Ovis aries: one gene and its partners. The protein of the gene in region 5 interacts with the protein of the main gene of each other region in a biochemical or structural test. Links are inferred from orthologs where the notes say so. Each region holds a gene or a part of one and is shown on either strand. Other genes may lie near its edges. The genes, in order: TEC, MPDZ, KITLG, SH2B3 and KIT.

Region 1 (3,879 bases), about 3.4 Mb from region 5:
CTCTACGGCAAAGTGGCCTTGGGCAGGCATTAACATGGTATCCCCATCCACACCGTGGTCAATGTATCCAAACTTCACAGGGTTACTTTGAGGACTAACCGAAAGCACTTAGCACAGTGCCTATCACGTAATACTTGTGAACTAATGTTAGTGTTGGAGAAGGCAATGGCACCCCACTCCAGCACTCTTGCCTGGAAAATCCCATGGATGGAGGAGCCTGGTAGGCTGCCGTCCATGGGGTCGCTAGGAGTCAGACACGACTGAGCGACTTCACTTTCACTTTTCACTTTCATGCATTGGAGGAGGAAATGGCAACCCACTCCAGTGTTCTTGCCTGGAGCATCCCAGGGACGGGGGAGCCTGGTGGGCTGCTGTCTATGGGGTCGCACAGAGTCGGACACGACTGAAGCGACTTTCTTCCAAAAGTCACTTTCGTGTCTAATCTCTGTCGTTGTTGTTTAACTGTCAGTCAGGTCCGACTCTTGTGACCCCATGGACTGGAGCCTGCCAGGCTTCTCTCCATGGGATTCTTCAGGCAAGAACACTAGAGTGGGTTCTCATCTCCTTCTCCAAGGGATCTTCCCGACCCAGGGATCAAACCCACGTCTCCTGCATTAGCAGGGAGATTCTTCACCACTGAGCCACCAGGGAAGCCAGTCTCTTCTATGAGGTAACATTTCAACACATGGAGAAGGAAAGCTTCCAAAGACTACGAGTAAAGAGACCTGAGGAATTTGAGGCTTGGAGAAAGAAATCCTCTCTGGTGAAAGAGTATATATTTCCATAACACAAGAGGGCCACTGAAAGAAGAGCTACTTCTCCAGGTTTGTTCCCAGAGTCCCCAACTCAGGCAACCACGGCAGGATGCCCACTTGGGAGGGAAGGGGCAGCCTGAATTGACTATCTTATTATTAGTGTTTTCCTCATCTTCACATCTTCTTCCTGTTACTCAGACCGAGTTGAGAAGAGCAGCTTCCTACTTAAGAGTCTGAAATCATGTAAAGCATGCACTAGGCTATAATGACCACACATTAAATTAAAATCTACCAAGCCCAGATCCCTGAATGCTTTAGAGACTGAGGAAGAAAGCACCCCAAAAATGTAATACCTCCTGCCAACATCTCAGCATCACCTCGTATACATATCTGGAGGCCAACTTTGGCTGGTGCAGTCGGTGGCCGCGGGTAACCATGGTTACCACTTCATAGTTGGTGTTTTTCTCAAAGGGCATTCTGCCTTCAGTGAATACTTCCCACATTAAGACACCTGGAAGACGAGAAGGATTGCCAAACAATGCACCCACTTCCTCTTTAGGGCAGAGTTGAGGGGAAGTGGAGCTCGAGTCTTACCAAATGACCAGACATCTGATTTGCTGCTAAAGCGGCTGTAATTAAACACCTCAGGTGGACACCACTTCACAGGAAATTTAGCACCAGAAGAACTCGTGTACTGATCATCCAGGACATACCTGGGGTAAGACAGTGAGTTATGATCTCTATTTTGGACAGGTTCTTTAATACCCCCTTACCCCCACCCCCGCCACCCACCCCAGAATCAAAACACAGTTGATTGAAGTCCAACAAGCATCCGGTTGAAGCTGCTTGCCTCTGCAGCCACGCCTCTGCGATTGTTGTCTTCCTCTGGGTGCTTGAGATGGAAACGCTGTAACATTCTATCTGCACTTTCACTTTTATGTTTTTCTTTTTTATAAGGCAGTGGAGGCAGCACACAATAAAAGCTTGCAACCTTTTTTTTAAATAAGCAATTTTGTCCTATAAACCAAGTTCTACCCAAAGGCTGCATTTATAAAACATCTAAAGCAGAGCTGCTCTAAGGAAGTGGTGCAAAGAGCCTGGAACATGTGCTTTTGCCCCCATGATTCCACAGAGCACCACTTAAAACTATAGCAAATAAGAAGAGCAAAATGATGTCTGTACACTGTGGTGTATATACCACAACATCCCTCCTCTATACATACACACTCAAAACAATAGCATGTAATTCTTCTGTGGGAGTACACTTATGTCCTTCCGGGAAGACACACACAAGCTGGTAACACCAGTTACCCCTGGGGAGGATCCTTAATTGGGATGGTAAACCTGGGTTCTTCAGCCCTTTTTATAATGTGTTCAGTATGTATTTGCAAGAGGAAGGTGTTTATGTAGTACAGGGACATATGAAGTTAACTTATACAAGCTCCATGGGAAAATTCAAATACTTGCACAAACTTCCCTTGCTGTATAGACAAAGATGGTGACAATGCCACCATGGGTGCCTGTCAGCAGAGTTTGAGTTGAGTGTGGAATGAGTGTTTTAGAAGCAGGGATTCCCAACCTCTAAGATCTAATGCCTGATGATCTGAGCTGGAATTGATGTAATACTAATAGAAATAAAATGCACAATAAATATAATGTGCTTGAATCATCCTGAAACCATCCCCCACCCCGGGTCCATGGGAAAATTTCCTTTCATGAAAGTAGTCCCTGGTGCCAAAAAGGTTGGGGACCACTGTTTTAGAGGGACTGATGCAAAAGCACAGGTTTTTCTGAAAGACTGACATATACGAAAATCAAGCATGAAATTGGAGATCTTCCTGGCAGATACAGAATGTCTTCACAGAATGAAAACAAAGAGCACTGGGTCATTACTTCCTGAGAGTCGGCAGTTCTGGTCCCATTTCTGACAGTAATGGCTTTCAAACCTCCCTTGGCTTGAATTTCCTTAGGAGAGAGACCTGGCTGTATGACCTGGCTTTGCCTGCTTTATAACCGTTCCTCACGCTGGCCGTGGGCCAACCACCCTGACCCTCTTTTGACTCCTGAGCAGGCCAAACTCATCCCTAATTTCAAATTTTTGCACTCGCTGTTTCTTACCACCTGGATTATTTTACAGTCAGATTTTTCACCTAATTGACTACTGCCTACCTTTTGAGTCCCTTTCCAAATATCCTGGTCTCAAAGAGCCTTCCAGAGCAACAGACCTAAAAAAGTAACCATCACCCCACCCCACACATCACTCAGCACCCACCACCCCACGAACCCCAGCTTATCACTATCACAAGGGTTGGCGAATGTTTTCTGTAAAAGGCCAGATCATGAATATTTCAGGTTTGCAGGCCTTTGTCGAGAGAAAGCAGTCAGACGAGTCTATGTCCTAATAATATCATATTTATGGACACTGATATTGGACTTTCAGATCATTTTCACATGTCATAACATTTTTTTAAGTTTTCTTCAGACCATTAAAAAATGTGAACACCGTGGGTGGCTCAGGTTGTACAAACAGAGGTGTCAGGTCAGATGTGGCCCGGAGGCTGATATTTGCGAACCCCCGTGCTGGTACCTCACTCTGTTGTTTCCCCCTCTTAGTGCTTCTGAGGTCTTATGCTTCTCTCTCCTCCTGAATTAAAGCTGCACATGGGCAGGGACTCGAATGTCTTAGCCTCTGCTAGGCTTCAATCTCTAATGTTGTGCCTAGCGCAGCACAGGCACCTAATTTTTTTATGGATGGAGGTACAGATGCCTGGAGAATTCCATGGACAGAGGAGCTTGGAAGGCTCCAGTCCACAGGGTCGCAAAGAGTCGGACAGGACTGAAGTGACTTAGGACTCACACACGTACAGATGAATGAATGAAAAGAAGGAAGGAGGGAAAGAAAGGACAAATGAAATACTTTTTAAAGGTCTTTTATAACACACTACTAAAATTTTAAAAATTAGGAGAATAAAAACACTACCGATTTGGTTATTCTAAAAACTGTACCCCAAACACATTTCTATCAAAACAAAAGATTCTAGAAATTTAATCCTCACCAGGGAGAAAAGAAAGCTGTATATTTAACAGGCTATACTACCACCTAGTGGAGAGAATGGTTAACAAT
Region 2 (4,532 bases), on a different chromosome or scaffold from region 5:
ATGCCAGAAATTTGGAACACAACAAAACCTGACTTCCGCCTCTCCCTTCCCCAGCAACAACCACCACTGGGCTCAGGCACTACAATGAAGCAGTGTGTTAAAGGAAGAAAGGAAACCAGAAACAAGTGAAGGGAAAAGAAATACTGAAAAGAGCCAAGGAAATGGGAGGGAAGGTTATTACATGTGAGCAATCTAGTAGTAAAACATTGAGATAAACATCGATTTTTTGTTTGTTTTACAAATAAGGTAGGCAAGACAAGCGCTGATGAGTCAAGGAGCCCCCCAAACTACCTTTGCGTAGGTGACAATTTGCCTGTGGAAAGGAACTTATGACACCCCCTAACCTCTGCTTCTCTCTACATAAATAAACAAAAATATAGTTATCAAAACTGCTCAGGTAGCAGAGTAACTAGATGTCACCAGAACTCACTGCAGAGCACCTTGAGATATAGCTATCTATATTAAACATAAGATAACTAAATATATAGTTTCTGCTAATCAGAAACCCCACTTTAGGCTAGATTCTAAAAAAGAAAGATGCCAAAAGGTTAAGAAAACTTTTTGAGAGTGAAACGTGGAAATGAGAAAATCCAGCACATTAACTTGCCCAACTACTGGGGAACAGTCTGCCATTTCCTAGGATACCAGAAACAGGACTTAAAAGGCAATGAAATTAAACAATACACTCATCACAAGAGGGAGTATGTAAGCAATACTTCTGAAGCCTGATCTTGATTGGCAACTTTTTCTGTAGAGTAAGACAGTAAACTTTTGGGACTCTGAAGGCTATCCATCTCTATCTCAACTATGCAACCAATCAACTATGTCACTGCTTCTGTGAAACCAGATACCAAGAGTAAGAATGCACCACGGACAAAAGGAATGAGTGCGGCTGTGCTCCAATTAAACTTTATGGGCACTGAAATTTGATTTTCATGTAATTTTCACGTCATGAAGTGTTATTCTTTTGATTGCGTTTTTCGACCATTTAAAAGTGTACAAACCATCCAAAGCTCTTAAACTTCAGGGGAAAAAACCAGGCTGCGGCAGAATATTTGGCCCATGGCTCTTAAGTTTACATATCTCTGCTTTTAAGGATTTTCCTGTCAACTGTGAGGAGCAGAGTGTGCAGTACAGCCCAGTCTAGATAAATGTCGCCCATTTATAAACTAGCCCATTAGCAAGCAGGAAATCTGGGCATCCCAGACAAAATTATCTCCACCACCCTCCAAAGCTTCCAGCCCCTCCCTCAGGCAAGGGTGCAGGTGCAGTCACCTTGAGCTTTGCATTGCATTAGAACTCTAGCCAAGGAACTTCAAGTTTTGGGGTTTTTTTTTTAATTCAACTGCCTAATTCTACCAAGGGCTAAAGCAAGTATTAAGCAAATTTAGATGATGCAATTCTTAGATAAAGTTCACTTTAGTCACCTATACCCAAACGTACATGTAACCCTGAAAGCCCACTGCATCACCTTGTAAGTTTTTCACACTAGATGTTATTTATTCTTAACAGGCAACCTAAATGAGAAATGTCCAGAGAAAAGGAGTGTTTACACCATGGCTGTCCAACAAAGCTGGATGACAAGTTTGGCCACTTTTCAGATTATTCCCCTCTCGACATCAAAAGAACTTGGAGAGGTTTCCTTCTAGGCTGGTGAAAGTAAGGTCCTCTCATCTGGTATCTCTGAAACATTAGCTGCCACCCGCTCCCATTTCGCCCAAGGCACATAGCGCCCATACCCAGGTTCTGCCCTAGCAGAGCGACCTCAGCACCCCCAGCCGCGGAGATGGAGGCAGACGTCCCGCCACCCTCGACTCGCCCGCGGACACTGAGGAGCGGCGGCCACCTCCGGCCTTCGCACGGCCCCTCCTCCTCTCCGCAGTCCCAGCTTGAATTTCCACGCGATCTACAGGAAAGAATAGCCCAGCCTTTGTGCCTCTGTAAGAACGCAAGCAAGAATTTACACCATCACCACCGGTGAAACAAACACACACACATACACGCACAGCGTATTCAGAGAAGCGCTTCCCTAGAAACATCCGGCATCCTGAGGCTGCGAAATTGCAGACAAAGGCGCCCCACTGGCGCGGGCTGGGTGGGGGGGGGGGAGAGCAGAGGGGGGGAGGCGAGAGAAAAATGCTCCCACCAACGCGGACACGAGATGTTAAGGGCACGGGCGCTAGGGGGAGGGGTGAGAAGTGGGGGCGGGTACCAGTGAGCCGCCCGTTCTGGGTGCCCCGCTGCAGCCGAGGCGAGGATCGCCAGTCTAGGGGCGCATCCCCATCCCTGCCGACCCTCGCGGAGCAATCGAGTGGGCGTCCGGGCTGAGGCGCGGCCAACAGCAACAGGCGCCCGTGCCAGGCCCGGGGCTCCCCTCCCTGCCACCCTTACTATGCCCTTCCAGGCGAACGAAAAGATGAAACTTTTCAGCCTCTTAAGAGTCAACAAGAGCAGAAGAGGAGGGAAGTGGATTAAAGAACCAGGACGACCGCTCGGGAACCCGGCGAGTCGCAAAGGAAACTTCCAGACTCCCATTCTTTTCAAGAGCCAAAGAAGCAGCGACTTCTCGGTAGCGCGGGGTGGGGCAAGCTCACCCCTCCCGCCGCCCGCGCCGAGCGCCCAGCCCCCGGCACCCGCGCACCTTCCCAGCCGGGGCGCGCGCAGGCCGCGGGGGCGCGCTCCGGCCTCCCGGCCCGGGCCCCGGCGCCGCTTACCCGGCTCGCGACGGCCGCCCTCGGCGGGAACGCTAAAGGGGCGGGGGGTGGGGACGCGGGGAGCCTCGCCTCGCCCACGCTTGCTCTCCTCTGTCGCGGAGTAACGGCCCGGCGAGGAGCTTCGGAATGAACGCGCACAGACGCTCCCGCGCGACCGAGAAACTTAATCCCGCCCGAGCACCGGCGGCCCGAAGCCAGCTTCAGCCTCCGTCGCCCCCTCCCGCTGCGTGCGCCGCACTTGCGCCAACCGGGGCTGCCGCGGAGGCGGCGGCGTTGGCGGCGGCGAGGCTCGGGCCGCCCGGGCTGCGTGACGCCTGCGGCCGGCGGGGCGGCGGGCGCGCCTCGGCCAATCAGGGGGCGCGGCCCAGCCGGCCGGCCCGGGGTTTAAACCAGCTCGGCGGGCGCTCGGCTGGGGTGTGGGGAGTGGGCTACGCGAGGTTGTTGGGGAGAAGCCCCGTTTAATTCCAGTGTCAAATTTTAAAAAAAGAAGCGTTCATTTGGACAAGTCTGCCCCATGCAATATTTGGGATATTCTTCTACACCAAATTCTTATACACTTCCCTGGTGGTTCAGATGATAAAGCATCTGCCTACAATGCGAGAGACCTGGGTTCAATCCCTAGGTCGGGAAGTTCTCCTGGAGAAAGAAATGGCAACCCACTCCAGTAGTCTTTCCTGGAAAATCCCATGGACGGAGGAACCTAGTAGGCTGCAGTCCAGGGGGTCGCAAAGAGTCGGACACGACTGAGCAACTTCACTTTCACTTTCTATACACTAAAAAACTGTTTATCTGAAATTCGGATTTAACTGAGCAGCCTTGATTTTATTTGCTGAATCTGGCAACCTTTGGGAACTTATTTCTGAGAACCTCTTTTTTTTTTTTTCTTTTGAATCCCAAGGGAAAGGGCCACCCACTCCAGTATTCTTGCTTGGAGAATTCCATGGACTGACTACAGTCCATGGGGTCACAAAGAGGTGGACACGACTGAGCGACTAACACACACTCTCTCTCTCCCTCACACTCTGTCACAGTCTGTCTCTCTCTGCTTGTTAAAGTGATGAGAAGCACTTTAATGAGGACGCCTGGGCGCTAATCTCACTTTGTAAAAAAGTAACTTTTAGCGCATCAGTGTCCATTTTTTGACAATAATCGAACTAAAAGACACAAAGGAAAAAATGTAAGAAGGCTTCAGAATTACAAGGTGCCAGAAAAAGCATGTTTATTTCTATCTTGTGCCGATTAAGATTATCTTTCTGAAATCCTCGATTCATGAGTCCCAGGAATCTTGTCTGGGAAAGAAAATTGCTCCCTTTTCAATACATAAGTGTAACATTAGGGCATACATCAAAGGATACGCAGAAGCCCAATTAAAATGTTTAAAGAATGTATTTAATATCCTGAATTAAAGATCTATTTTTCCTTGGCAGAATTGTAAGTTTTGATTTGTCTTTTAAAAGCGATTTGTATATATTTCTACAATATTCACCAACTATTTGAGGGGAAATAGGTTATAAGATAGACAAGACTTCAAGGGGAAATTGGTTTGAGTTTTTAAATGGATATTTTCAGAAAGCTACAAAATGAAACATTTGCCTGCAAATGACTAGGAATTGAGTAAAGTGACCTCAGTGCCCTGGATGGAGTATCCTCAGCCCAAGCACCCTTGTGCTTTTATAAACATGAATCCGCCTAGTTTTTCCCACCAGTGAAAGAAAAATACTGACTAGATTTCTTCATAGTATATGGATATTCATTTCCTCTGAGTCTTTTGAAAATAAAAGTTGAGATGTAGTAAGTGGAAACTCATCCGAGCTTAAG
Region 3 (4,658 bases), on a different chromosome or scaffold from region 5:
AAAACTAAAATATAAGTACAACATCAAAAAACATGGCATCAGCCCTGTTAAACTAATAGCATTTTTCTAATTGGTCTTTCAAATTAATATGTCCAATTGTTATTATATGCTGAATATAGATGTTCTAAGCCAGAGAGACACAATTCTCTTCAGAAACCGTAAAACCACACAATAAGGATAAAATACATTCAGAAATCTGAAAAATGCAAACCACTTTCATTTCTGTAGACGTGATTAAAACTTAACCGTTCAAATTGCTCCTCACGACTCCTGCCGTGTAATTATTGCCCATCTGCTGGTCCATCACATGTGCTAAATAAATGAAAGAATCGTTTTTTCACACCCCAAGTGGTTGTTGGTGGAATTTCCACATTTATTTAGCTTGACTATTAGGCTAGAATGTGTCTTACAGCCTGGTGTCCCTGTGATTCTTGGAGAGCTGCATAATTCAAGTATATTAATTTATCATTCTATATCTTGGGTAATGGAAGGGTACACAACTGTTTGCTTTATTACAGAACTTGAAATTGATTCCATCTTTATAAATGACTATTTCAACTACTGAATATTAATAGCTATTCCACCCTTTCGAGTATAACATTAGATTCACTGGAACGATTGATCTCATCTCTTAATGCCAGATTACCTTATGCTACTTTCCCTCCATACAGAGTTGCACTAGAAAATTTCTTTGTAACTTTTGGATTAGAAAAGCTAACAATATGAATGAGGACCTACGCACCCTCCCCCATTTCCACTGATTACTTCATTGATTCCATGTTATTTCCAGGGTCTCCTTCTTCAGTGGCAAGAATGTGGAATTGCTAGAAGTATCCTTAAAGGAAACCTTGAAGGTCATTAGATCCCAGGCAATGAATGCCTTCATTCACCAAGGGCACTGCCCTCCTTTGCCTCCAGCCCTTCAGCATCAGCAAGTTCCCCCAAAGGGCTTGCACTTTTACTCAGCCTGAGCAGGTCACATTTCTAAAATACTTGCCTGTCTCCAACGTCCCTGGTCAGCAGTACTGATTCACTGCCACCAAGGAGTTTCAGGCTAGTTCGACCTCTTTCTAGTTTTCAATGGAATTATTCCATGTAATCCGATTTACACAGCCATTTAATCAAAGTGAGAGAGGAGATTACAGAGCTCACCGTTTGTTTTGCAAAGCAAGCAAGGGTGCAAGGATCATCAATCCTACCGAATCTAACTTGACTTGATAGTACCGTCCCATACGCCACCCCCCACCCCCCACCTTTGGATTGTTGGTCATTAACCTGATCTGTCTCCAGAGATCTTGTTTAAATAGGAAGGTTTAGGCTGTTTTCCTGAACCGGAAGGTAGCGGGGTTCTCCACCCAGATCTCACTACTGCCATTCATGTGAGCAGATGCTACTGTAACAAAGAATTGGTTCCCCGCCCATGCTTATTAATTTCACACAGCAGAAAGCATGTATAAGTCAAGCAATTACTTTAAAACTTCTGTTGCCAGTCTTCCATATTTGCATTTCAACAGCCCGCTGCGGTGATCCCAGGTGCTCTGCCTATAAACTAACCTGCTGGCAAGAAAGAAACCTGCGCTGCGCTCCTTTCCTCCGCCTTGGGCAGCTGCCCTAGAGATTACACAAACCTTTCTGCCAGGCCAAGTCCCAGACCCCTGCTCTTTTCCACACAGTGTAATGGGCTCGGGTCTTCCTACTTGCTTCTGAATGCGTTGGTACCCTTCCCAGATCTAGACGTTTATTGAAAATGTGACACAGTGTGTCATTAAATACAGCATTTTCAAGATTCTAAACTGAAGACGTATACAATCTTTTCACCCGCCACTTCCACCCCCTCGACACGTGTCAAGAATTGCAATCTCCAACAGAACCTCTGGGGGGTGAGAGGGCAGCCTCACCTAACCCGCAGCAGATAACACAGAAAAATTCCTAATGGGAGAAAGTAGAGGTGAGAGCTGGCGAAAAGAACTGTGAATGGGAGTGCCCCTCCGGCCCTTTATCAAGGACAAGCCAGAGATATCTGCTGCGAGGAAAGAAAAGGAAAAAAAAAAAAAAAAAAAACTAATTGTACCCCTAGACGGTGCCCTACCCTCTGTGCTTCTTGTGCATAATGCAAATTTTGCAGCACCGGGAATTACCTCCGTAACTACCACCAGAGGTGCCCATTAAAATACGCACGCGCGCACACTTATACAACTTTTTCTCTTCTGTAATGGAAAAAAGTGGGTGCAATGTGGAGGTATTACCCTATCTAGAGCTCGCCTAGAGCCGCAAACCTGGCAGACGCCGTGGGAGCCAAGTTTCCCCCGGCCGGTGGGGCAGGTTCTCCACCCAGCTGAGCGCGGCGAATAAGGACCTCGGGGTTGACTCGGACCAGAGTCCACACGAGCCCGGCACCCACACCGGAGCCACACAAAAATCTGAGTACGCGAGTGACCGAGCGTGGCGCGTGGGGAACTGTTGTGTAATCTTCCCGAAATCCACGGGAAAATGTCTCCCGTGCAAGGACGTGCCTTTCTGGAATAACTTCAACTCTCCGGCCAAAGAACAGATCCTTCTGTCTAACAGGAATTGAGGCTCCCGACTGACAGCTCCCAACTTACGGCTCCAAACTTGACACCCGCTCATCCTTCCCACTCCTCTCCAGGCTCACCCAAGCCGGGCGGCTGGGGCTCGCGCGCCTCTCCTGCCTCCCCCACACCCTCCAGGCCCGTCCGGCAGGCACAGCCCCGCACGCCGGGGCAGCTGGGGCCGGAACGCGCCGGCCTCCGGGCACGGTTTTTCTTGGAGAGCTGGCGAGCTCCCCGGCGCGCCCTACTTACTTGTGTCTTCTTCATAAGGAAAGGCAGCGCTGTGATCCAGCCCAAGCAGCGGTGTGGCAACTCCGTTTAGCTGTTCTGGAGCTCCAGCATACTGCATGAGCAGCGGCTGCAGATAGTCCACGCATTGAGCCCGAGCGCAACGCCCGCTCCACTGCCAGTGCTTGCCGCGGCGATCCCTGTCCCGGCGCGAGACGGTGAGCGAAGCCCGGGCCGGCGCGCCGCCAGCAGTTTTATACGGCTCCCGCCCGCCTACTCCGGACACGCCTCCTTCCCTTCCGGAGCCCCGGGGAAGCAAGCCTGGGCTGGGGCAGGGGGCAGGGGCGCAAACCCTGGAGGGCGGCTGGAGCGCCAGAAGTTGGACAGATCAAGCGAAGCGCGTTCCAGCGCTGGGGGGCTGGTGCGCGCAAGGCTGGGAGACCACTGGGGCGCGGGGGCGCCGAGGACGAAGGTGAACACGCTGCAGCCGCCACTCGCTCTGCGCCCCGGGCGCGGAGAGTCTCTGATCTGCCTCTTAGCCTGGCACGGCCGGGGACTCACGAGAAACCTTGAGCTTGGGCGACGGCTGGTAGTTTCTTCTCTACTGCAGAGGCGGGGCTGGAGGGGTCACTCGGGGCCTAGCGAAGAATTCACCTCGTCCTGCTTTAGGGAAAAATATGTTTAAAGCTTAATTAGGATCTATATAGTTAGGCCGTTGTCCCACTCCAATTTTTTTAAACAATTACTTTAGTGAATGGATATTTAATCATTGAAATGATTGTTGACTCAGAGTTGAATGTTGCTAAGGGCGATGCTGTTTCCAGAGTGATTTATGGCTGCTGCTTTAGAAATTAAGACGAAACGAGAAGCGGTAGGTAACAGGCAGGCCACAGAACCAGGCACTTTTGAAACTTGTACTTTCTGTTGTTGGAGAAGGTTTTGGAGTCAGATAATGCAACAACAATAATAACTAAAACCATTGTGCGATGCACTTAATTACATGCCAGGCGCTGTGCCTGTAAAGCGTTAGTACTTTACAGCGATTATCTCACTTAGATCCTCTCCACAAATCTATTATTTAGGTCTTGTCACTTTTATTTCCATTTTATAGTTGATGAAACAGAATTAGGTCAACTTTCCCAAATCACAGCTAGTAAATGGCAGAACTTAACTTGAATCCAGAGTCCTGGCTATATAGCTTTCAAAAATGTTTAAAACAATTATTGACTCTCTAAAGCCCCATTATATTTGTTCTTATTTCAGACCACTAAAAAGCATTTTATTAATTCTTTGAAGAAAGTATGTACTAGAGATTAATGTCAATAATCTATAAGAAAAATATTATGTAAATTTAGGAATTAGGTATTTTAATGAGTAGGATTCCAAATTAATTAATTCAGTGAGCCTTTTTAGAGAAATGAATATGCCAAACTTATAATCATGAAAAACAAGAAACTAGGTAAAATTTGAAGCTCATAGTATTAGTTTTCCATCACTGCTGTGACAAATAACAAAAACTTACTCACTTTAAACAACACATATTTATTATCTTACAGTGTGGAGGTCAAAAGTCCAAAATGGATCTCCCAGGGCTAAATGTTGACAGGGCTATGTTCCTTATAGAAGCTCTAGAGGAGAATTCCTTTTCTTGCTTGTCCAGGGTTCTAGAAGTAATCCAGAGTTTTTGGCTCACAGATATTTTCTTCTTCAGAATCAGTTACGGGTGAGTGGAGTCTTCATATCACCCACTCTGGCCTTCCCTTCTGCCTCCTTCTTCCACTTGGAAGGACCTTGTGTACATTAGGCTCACCTGAATAATCCAGGGTATGCTCCCTAAATCATCTGATTAGCATCGTTAAT
Region 4 (4,626 bases), on a different chromosome or scaffold from region 5:
AGGTCCAGAGAGGTCAGGTAACTTGTCCAAGGCTTCACAGCTAGAAGCTGGCAAAGCTCAGATTTGGTTCTAAAACCCATGCTGCTACTGGGAGAAGCAAGAACTGAACAGAGAAGTCCTCTCATTTGAATAACAATAACAACAACAGTGTCCATTATTAATTGAGTGCCAAGGCCAGCACTGAGTGCCCTATGTGCTCTGTCTCTCCTACTCAGGGTGGGCAGTGCGGGAGAAGGGCAGCTGGAAGGTCCCTCCAAGTGCCTCCATCACCGCCCCCTCTGCCCCCAAGGAAGCTCTGTCCAGGAGGCGGCACAGCCGGACCCAGACACCCAATGGCGCCTACAGGCTGAACCCCGGCAGGGCCCCCCAGCTCCTCCCGGCCCAGGCTTCTGCTGTATTGCAGTAGTTCTACAGGTACGAATTTGTGTTAGAAGTTCCCTTTAATGGAGAAGGATCAAGCCCAGGATTCAAAAGAAGGGCGGAAGGGAAGGAGAAGAAAAACAAGGCACACACAGCAAGATAACAACAATCTCTTCCTTATTACTATTCTTCCTCCTGACCAAGCCATTCTAAACACTTCATGAATTCACTCATTTATGGTTCCAGTGACCCTAAAGAAGTAGGTACTAATATCACACCCATTTGACAGATAAAGAAACTGAGGTGGGGCCACAGAGCCGGGATTCACCAACATCTCACCCTGTCCAGGAACTCCAGAATTCTCCTCCCAGAACTCAGGAAACCCCAGAGCTGCTCGCGCAGGTGGTGCTCAAGGGATGCTGATGAACAAACATTCCACAGCCAGTAACAATAACACTAATGATGGTAATGAGGAAAATCACCACCACCTGTAATTGAACCTTTCCATGCCAGGCTCATTATATGCCTACCACAAACCTATTATTACCTCATTTCACACAGGGGGAAACCAAGTCTTACAAGTGTCACTTGCCCATGCCCTCGGCTGGGAAAAAGCAGTGGGGGTAGGGAACCTAAGCTTCCACGACCCTCCTCTGTCACTGCTGAGCCCCTGAAGGAACTCAGACGCCAGAAGCTGATTCTTTAGTCCAGCCCCTTCCCAGCTGGCTCCTCCATGGCCCACAGAGACTCACACGAGTTCTAGGAATGTTCACCCTTTGGCTCCAAAGGATTTTCCCTCCCAGAGGGGGGTTGTGGGAAAAAGCTCAGAAAAACTGTATTAAAAACCCATCCAACTTCCCCAACGGGCCCTGGCCTCTCATCTGCTGACCCCAGCCTGACAAAGGGTCTCAGTCCGCTTTCCCCCTCCTACAGCTGGGTCTCTGGGCCCCAGGGGGCCTCCAGGGCTGTTTCCGTTCTGGCAGCCAGGTCAGTGATGGGAAATTCAGACACAGCTCGCACCCACAACTCTGGAGATGCATGTGCCCACCGCCCTGGCAGGGGCCCTAGGGATTGGACTGTAAATGGGAACGGACTGGCTGCCCCAGCTGAGCAGGGCAGCTACTGGGTGTCGGAGGAAGCTCATCTCCCAGGGCAGATCTCCGCCCCTCCTGCTCCCAAAGCTGGTTCTTGGCCATCCAGACTTCGTTTTGCCAGGCCCTCTGTTCAGAAACCCCCCTCCTGGAGCCCAATTTCACTTCCTCCCACTCAGTCCGGCCTGGCCATTCCCCTCGATGGAGGCCTCCAGCTGCAGGCAGTGAACTCCTTACCTACATCATTGTGGCCCCGGGAATGGGGAAGAGAAACAGGAGAATGAGGAAACTCAAGGAAAAAAAGTGGAATGGCAGGCAGGCCCCCCTCCCCAGTTCCTCAAATGCAGTCCCACTGTCCCAAAAACCCCCAGGAACCGAATGAGGGAAGGGAGGGGATTTCTGCACCAGGCATTAAGGGCCTCTGAAATACCTTTCAGCCCTGCTGACCTATTAGGCCAATGACTTGTGTCCCTGTTTATTTTGGGGTGGAAGGATTCCCCTGCAGCCCCATGTCCAGGGTGGGAAGGTACCAGTCCAAAGAGAATTGAGCTCTGAAAGCCCTAACCCTTTTGAACCCACTGATTCTGCAGCATGGGGGCGCCTGGGCCACCCCACCTCCCTAAGGCAGAGAATGGGGAGAGGGGTTTCTGGAATGCTGGGGGTGGGGGGTGCTGAGTGCTATCCTCTTAGCCACATGGCCTGGCCTGGGAGAGTAGGGAGAGGCCTGTGCCCCACTCCAAGAGGACGCTTCCATTCTCACGGGCTCAATTTGACTACTTTCACTTTCAAGGTACCAAAGCAGTGACCCCCAGCCCCTCCTCTCTAGGCACAAACTGACTGGCTAGGCTACAGTAAGAGGCAGCTGGGAGTATTAGCCAAACCCTCTCCCAGCGCCTCCCCCACTGCCTCAGCTACCCCCACTACATCCCCAACACGTGTGTGGGTGTCGCAGGAGCTGGGGAACGGTCACCCCTGAATACCCCCACCTGAGTGAGCAGCAGGACAATATTTTAGGCAGTTGCGGGAGTGCGCAGACACTGGGCAGAACGGGACACGGGGCCTCCCCGTCCCCCATTGAAGCCGTCCCAGCCCCGGAGGAGGGGAGCACTGGGAAAGGCGTGCTTACCTGAGAGAGAGGGGGTCCGGGCCCGGCCGGCCCATGGCGTCGCGCGCCCCCGGCCCCCCGAAATCCCGAGGGGGCGGGCGGGCCCCCGCCCCGGGCGCGTTCTCTCCCGCGCGCCGGCTCCTGGCTCGCGGCTCGCTCGAGCGGGGCTCAGGCAGGAAACCCGGGCTCGGAAAATGGCCAGCGCCTCATCATTTCCGCCGCCAGCGCTTGACAGTTGCGGGAGGATGCGCCTCCGGGCCGGCACCGGGGAAACTTTGCTGTCTCCGACGTCGCCACCGCGGGCCGCGACAGTCCGGGCGGGCGGCCGGGCGGAGGCGGTGGCCCGAGCCCATGCCGCCCCTCGCCGTTATGTAAAGAGGAACCGGCTGTGCTAGCAGATCCCGGCGGGGGAGGGCGGCTACAAGAGGGGCGGGGCCGGGGAGGGGCCGGGCCGCGCGAAGCCCCGCCCCCGGCCCGCCCGCGAGCCGGACTCGGCCGAAGGCGGAGGGGGGCGGGAAAAACAGGGCTCGAGGGGCGGGGCTGGTCCATGCCCCGCCCACCAGCCCGATTTCTCCGCAACTGACCGAGTCCTGGGGTCTCAATCGCAAGCCCGGAGAGGCGGGCCCTTGTGAAACCACGCCCACAGCTCGCCCACCCGACGGCGTATCGCACAGCCTAAAGTAGGGAACGAACGGCAGGAGGGGCGGGGCAATCCTGGCCCCACCCAGGGAGCGTCAGCGACCACCTCGGGAGCCTCCACGCTGTGGGGGCGGGGTCGGATGAAGAAAAGGCGGGGTCTGAAGGCGGGGCCAGGCCAAGGCTCCTGGCCTCGAGGGGGCGCGACCCTGCCGACTGCCTCCTGCCGACTGCCTCCTGCCGACTGCCTCCTGCCGACTGCCTCCTGCCGACTGCCTCCTGCCGACTGCCTCCTGCCGACTGCCTCCTGCCGACTCCCTCCTGCCGGGCCTTATCTGCGCGCGCCGGGCCGGTCAGTGCAATAGCGACCGCAGCTTTCATCATCACCCGGGGAAGGATCCCAACCCCGCCCAGCCCCGACTATCCGTAACTCTACTGAGCCGACCCCCCATAGCGCCACCCTCAGCTCTACCCCTGTCGTAACCAGTGGCCCTGGAGACGGGCCTCTATGGGCCCATCCATTTCCCAACTCCAGGAGGGCATCCTTCTCCAGGAAGCCTTCCTGAATCGCTGGCTCCCATGGCCTCTGGGCCTCCCTCTCTGCTCTCCCCGGGGCTACTTTCATTTTATTTGAGCCAAAGGTGGGGTGAGGTTCACAGTGGGGTCCGCACTAGCCTGAAGGGGAGCACACACCCAGCCAGCCCTTCCTCTAACACAGGGAAGGAGGGGAGAGAGGAATGTCTGCTCTTCTCTCCCTCCCACAACAGGAAACAAGTCGCTCACACCCCCAGTTTGCAGGGGCCACATGGACTCTTTCCAGACAACACACTCTTCCATTCCCCTGCCTCCCCCTCTTACTAAGCTTGGGCAAATGACTTCACTTCTCCACACCTCAATTTCCTCATCTATGAAATGGAAATAATAAGAGTACCCATAACCCAGGGTTGTTTTGAGGATTAAATGAGTTAATGCATTAAAGTACTTAGCAAGGGGCTTTGCCCAAGGGGAAACACTGCTAGTGTTTGTTCAACAATCAGGCCTGAGTCCTGCCGTTGGTGCTACAGGAAGGGGTTCCCCCAGAAGATGGGGATTTCCAGATTTCACCAGATGGCGGAAGGGGGCCTGTCTGCTGTAGGATCCTTAGAGTTCAATAACCTTGAAGGAACTGGCCACAGACATGTGCTTTCCATAAATATGTATGTCAGGCATTGTTCAGAGTGCTGGGGACACAGCACTGAATGAGACAGACAAATATCCCTGCCTTCATGGGAATCCCTTGTCCTCAGCTGACATTCTGGTGAGGGGATGTAGAACACGAATAAATAGAAAGTGGGATAATGTATTATGAAGATGACAGAACAGTAACAGGATGGAGAGTGCTTCCCAGGCTCTCTGAGACTGGACGCTTGGAGGACCTTCTGCTGCTAAGTCACT
Region 5 (4,644 bases):
GCTGGGAGAAAATCCACGTAGAAGGGACACAAAGTCCTTACACTCCAGAGCTTAAAGTACACAGCGTTCAATGTCAGAATAATGAAACATAGATTCAAGACAGCTTCAGGCTACAGAGAAAGAAGTGGGCTGGATTTCCACAGTATCAGAAGAGGAGAAAGAGCAGACAGACAGATACCACAGACAGACACCAGAGACACTCGTGCACAGTGAGATACCCGAGGTCAACTAGACTCAAGGAGATCAGTGAAAAGTTCTGGCCCTCAGGCCAGCAGAAGCCACAGAACTGACAGTTAAGGATTTAGACAAGAGGACGATGTGAGGCGGCCAGAGAAAGAGCACACTAGTGGTGACGGCGCCATGAAAAACACAAAAGGTTGACTCACGTACAATCCGGGCGAGGGGGGCGAGGGCACCAGGATAACAGAGCTCCCTGGGGGGCTTTCAGCCACTTCTGCAGGATCATGGGGGAAATGGTTCATGTGCCTTGGAGAGGCACAAGCTCCCCTCCACACATACAAGGTCAGAGACAAGAACTGATGTGGGTTCTGAAGGAGCAGCAAAAGCCATCCAAGCCAGTGGAGGAAGCAGCGGGTGGGCGGCAGGGGCCAGTGGGAGGCAGGGGCGGCCAGAGGAAGCCACAGCAGGAGCCTCTGCACATGTTCAGGGCAGGGATGGAGAAAAGGTGAGAAAGGGGCAGAGATGGGAGAAGCGGGACACCTGCTCCCAGGTGCTACACCTGGCCAGCAGGTGGACTTCCCACCACCAATTCAGATGGTAAGAAAGGGACAGAGATGAGAGAAGCGGGACACCTGCTCCCAGGTGCTATACCTGGCCAGCAGGTGGACTTCTCACCTGATGATGTGAAATTCAGATGGTGGGGAAAGAGCAGTACCTGTGAAGTTATAAGACAGGATCAAATAATCCAAGGAAACGGTTTTGTAAAAAAAAAAAGAGGGACACAATGAGTACTGGTCGCAGAGTTTTTCCAGCTAAGAGTGGGTAGGAAAGAGCCAAGACAGATTTTTTTCTTTTAATGGGACCATCAGAAAGGAGGGGGAGAGGCTAAAATAGACAAGGGAGGCAACACATCAAAAGGTTTCCAAGAGAAGGTGGATGGGTCCCAGGGCAGATGCTGAGCAAGATCAAAGGGAGCGAACACAGGTCCCCAGATCTGGTTAGGAAGACACCACAGGAAATCCAATTTCAGTTGAGTGGGAATTTCTGTTGGCTTCAAGGTTAAGCCTGCAAGTGTAGACCTCTTCCTGGAGAACTATGGCAGGAGAAAGCACAGAAATAGATCTGTAGTTAAAATTTCAGTAGCAGTTAAAAGGTTATAAGTTTATCAAAAAAAAAAAAAAAAATAGGAGGCATGCTGACATCTGAGGATAGCAGGAACAGAATCCACAGAGAGGGACAGCCCAAAAGTGCTCTACAGAATGGCTGAAGTTGTCCCCTGAAGGTGTGTATAAATCACCAGTCTCAGTTTAGTTATCCAGACAAGTATTTCATCTGAGTGCCTTCCAACCATGCCATCAATTATAGCCCCATGACGTCATGCAAAGTACACCCCAGATCAGAAGATTCTGGGCAGCCTTGAGTCATGAACAATAAGGTGAATTAGTCATCACATGTTACCGAGCACCAAGAGTAAGAGAAGTGCTATGGCCCAGACTGTGTGTGTCCCCAGACTGAAGCTCTAAATGGTGGAACCAGACTATGGAAATAAAGTAGTTGGGGTGATTTTTAGTCATACAGACTGTTAAATAATGAAAATGGGCACAGTGGTAAGTGAAGATGCTGGTTTTTCAAGTAGTTATCTCCTTTAAAAATGAAGTACTTTCAATTTAATTCAAAAATTCTTAAGAATTTATACTGCAAATATATTTCATTCTGGGCTTCCATGGTGGCTCGGGGGTAAAGAACACAGCTGCCAATGCAGGAGATGCAAGTTCAGTCCTTGGGCTGGGAAGATGTCCTGGAGAAGGAAATGACCACCAGGGTCCTCTGTCCACGGGATTTCCCAGGCAAGAATACTGGAGTGTGCCGCAGTATTTCTTTCTTCACTTAGTTACTATAGTGAAAGCAGTAAGGCATCCTAGGTAAGAACTTGACTCTCTTTATTTTTTGAGGGTTCTAATTTTTTTTTAATTGAAGTATAGTTGATTTACAATTATGTGTTAATTTCTACTATAAACAAAGTGATTTGGTTATATATATATATTCTTTTTCTTACACTTTTCCATTATTGTTTATCACAGAATACTGAATATAGTTCCCTGCGCTATACAGTAGGACCTTGTTGTTTATCCATCTAACTTACTTCCCTCAGTACCATCACATTTAGAGATATGACTGTCCAGATTTGCATCTGCCAGAATGCAAGCGTGTGATCCTTAAGAAAGTTACCAAGCATCTCTACCTTGGTTTCCTCATCTGGAAAGTGGGGACAGTAACAGCACCTAATTCATAAAGCTGTTATGGAAAGCACCCAGAACTGTCCTCAGGCATGCAGAAAACACGTAATATGTACAAGACACGATTACTCTAGAAACAGTCTCATCTTCCCTCCAATCAGTCCTGACATTTCCTATGGAAGTAACTGGGCCCATCATTTCCCAGATTTCTGCCTGACTTCTCCCTCCTTGGCAATAAATCATACCAGTCATTCCCTAGAGCCTGTCACACATCCCTGTACGTCTCTCCACTCCTGCTGCGCTGATCCCAGACGTTATTTACAATGTCCAGAAAGAAAATCCTTTCCTGAAAGATCTCCATGTCTCCAGCCTCCACTTACCCCACCCCCAAATCATCCTGCCTCATAACCCTGAGATCCGTCAGCCTAAAACACTTTTTCAACAGCCCCAACACCAGCCTCAAAAACCCTAACAGAGGCAAGCAGCAGCTAACGCTGACATTATGCACAGCTTACAGAGCACTCTCATGGTGTTAATTTCTAGCTGTTTCCTCTGGACCCAACCTGCTTCTCCAATCCTTTTAGCCTAAGGATCCTGTGAACGCTCTTCATTCCATGCTATGCCCACCTCTCTGTCCATGCACCCAGGACATAACTACTCCATCATTTTGCCTCCTTATCAAGAAGAAAGCCCAATCTTCATGGATATTGTTTGCTCTCTAACTATTCCAGGTCACGATCACCTGTTCCCACTAAACTCTCCAAAACCTTCAGCTCCATCACCCATTTGGCTTCTGATGTACAACAGTGGTCTACATCTAGACCTTACCTCTGCCTACTCTGGGGTATTAGGGCCCTCAGAACAAGGATCACAAATCCCACTCCCTCTCCACCCCAGCACAGTTACACAAAAGTGCCCTTCAATCACTGACCATATAAAAGATTGGAGGAAGGACAGGTTCTGAAACACCTAGCCCCAGTAACAGATGTCAACAGTCTACTGACCTCTTCTCCAAAGGAGAACAATGTCTATTCTGCTGCTCTACTAAGAAAAAGTAATGGCTTGATTCATCCATTAAAATTACCATAGGTACCACCAAAAGAAAAGGTTCCAAATTTGAGATCACTAGCTTACACTTTTGGAGAAGGTAATGGCAACCCACTCCAGTAGCCTGGAAAATCCCATGGACGGAGGAGCCTGGTAGGCTGCAGTCCATGTTGTCACGAAGAGTTGGATACAACTGAGCAACTTCACTTTCACACATTGGAGAAGGAAATGGCAACCCACTCCAGTGTTCTTGCCTGGAGAATCCCAGGGACGGGGGAGCCTGGTAGGCTGCCGTCTATGGGGTCACATAGAGTCGGACACGACTGAAGCGACTTAGCAGCAGCAGCAGCTTACACTTTGCTTTCAGAGTTAAAAGAATAAATTTTTAAAACAGTCACCACCAGAGGCATTCAGGGTTTTCTTTTCAAAATAAAATGTAAGTTCAACCCACAAACTTGAGCATATACTAGAATGTGGCTGCGGATATTATTTATTCTCTTTTCTCCAAACTATCTTGAGTGCTGTTATAATGTTCTCTCTCTTACACATACACACACACAAAGATTAGAGGTTCATGTTAAATATATATATATGTATATATATATATATACACACACCCACACACATACATACAAACACACAGTATGTGTGTCTGTATGTGTAAAAACACAGACATATATATATATATACACATACATACCTTTATATTTAAAAGTCAATATCAATAAATTAGTCCAACTGAGCTTTGAAACTGCTCTGGAATCATACATTTTGAAATGTATCTGTATATAGCAAGTTCTCAACAGACATTTGCTGAATGAGGTTTTATCTATGTCAGGACTTTTTGTGTTTGAAATGTACTTCCCTAATGATGTTTGACTAATAAAAACACTTGAGTTATTTTCTGTTTCCTGAATATGTTAATTAATGAGTCCCCCAAATATGACAGATGGCAAAACCCACCATTCTGAGGACCAACTAATAGAGTGAATGATGGCTGGGGGCTAGGAACTCCAGGATCTATTCAGAAAATATTCATTCCAGCTATCCTGGTAAGTGCTGGACCTAGGAGACAGTCCCTGATCTCAAAAAGCATAAATAAGAAAGGAAAAGGGCACTTACGAACAGTCAACAATGCAAGATTTTAACAGTTGTTCAAAACAAATACCAACGTACCCTC

What was found.
Region 1: the proteins of KIT (region 5) and TEC form a complex in vitro, tested with the Homo sapiens proteins (2 studies listed by BioGRID and IntAct, with this or other methods). The link is inferred for Ovis aries from reciprocal best matches to the Homo sapiens genes KIT and TEC.
Region 2: the proteins of KIT (region 5) and MPDZ form a complex in vitro, tested with the Homo sapiens proteins (2 studies listed by BioGRID and IntAct, with this or other methods). The link is inferred for Ovis aries from reciprocal best matches to the Homo sapiens genes KIT and MPDZ.
Region 3: the proteins of KIT (region 5) and KITLG form a complex in vitro, tested with the Homo sapiens proteins (3 studies listed by BioGRID and IntAct, with this or other methods). The link is inferred for Ovis aries from reciprocal best matches to the Homo sapiens genes KIT and KITLG.
Region 4: the proteins of KIT (region 5) and SH2B3 form a complex in vitro, tested with the Homo sapiens proteins (2 studies listed by BioGRID and IntAct, with this or other methods). The link is inferred for Ovis aries from reciprocal best matches to the Homo sapiens genes KIT and SH2B3.

The regions. Positions count from the first base shown.
Region 1 is NC_056059.1:67,509,983-67,513,861, forward strand, and holds part of TEC (tyrosine-protein kinase Tec), read right to left. Parts: intron 1,469-3,879; coding exon 1,350-1,468; intron 1,267-1,349; coding exon 1,109-1,266; intron 1-1,108.
Region 2 is NC_056055.1:81,785,794-81,790,325, forward strand, and holds the start of MPDZ (multiple PDZ domain protein), read right to left. Parts: upstream 2,975-4,532; 5' UTR 2,715-2,974; intron 2,593-2,714; exon of another isoform or gene 2,007-2,592; intron 1-2,006. UniProt on the Homo sapiens protein: Member of the NMDAR signaling complex that may play a role in control of AMPAR potentiation and synaptic plasticity in excitatory synapses. Promotes clustering of HT2RC at the cell surface.
Region 3 is NC_056056.1:124,865,165-124,869,822, forward strand, and holds the start of KITLG (kit ligand), read right to left. Parts: upstream 3,030-4,658; 5' UTR 2,838-3,029; coding exon 2,823-2,837; intron 1-2,822. UniProt on the Homo sapiens protein: Ligand for the receptor-type protein-tyrosine kinase KIT. Plays an essential role in the regulation of cell survival and proliferation, hematopoiesis, stem cell maintenance, gametogenesis, mast cell development, migration and function, and in melanogenesis.
Region 4 is NC_056070.1:55,166,040-55,170,665, reverse strand, and holds the start of SH2B3 (SH2B adapter protein 3), read right to left. Parts: upstream 2,930-4,626; 5' UTR 2,578-2,929; intron 421-2,577; exon of another isoform or gene 1-420. UniProt on the Homo sapiens protein: Links T-cell receptor activation signal to phospholipase C-gamma-1, GRB2 and phosphatidylinositol 3-kinase.
Region 5 is NC_056059.1:70,895,367-70,900,010, reverse strand, and holds the start of KIT (mast/stem cell growth factor receptor Kit), read right to left. Parts: upstream 2,820-4,644; 5' UTR 1-2,819. UniProt on the Homo sapiens protein: Tyrosine-protein kinase that acts as a cell-surface receptor for the cytokine KITLG/SCF and plays an essential role in the regulation of cell survival and proliferation, hematopoiesis, stem cell maintenance, gametogenesis, mast cell development, migration and function, and in melanogenesis.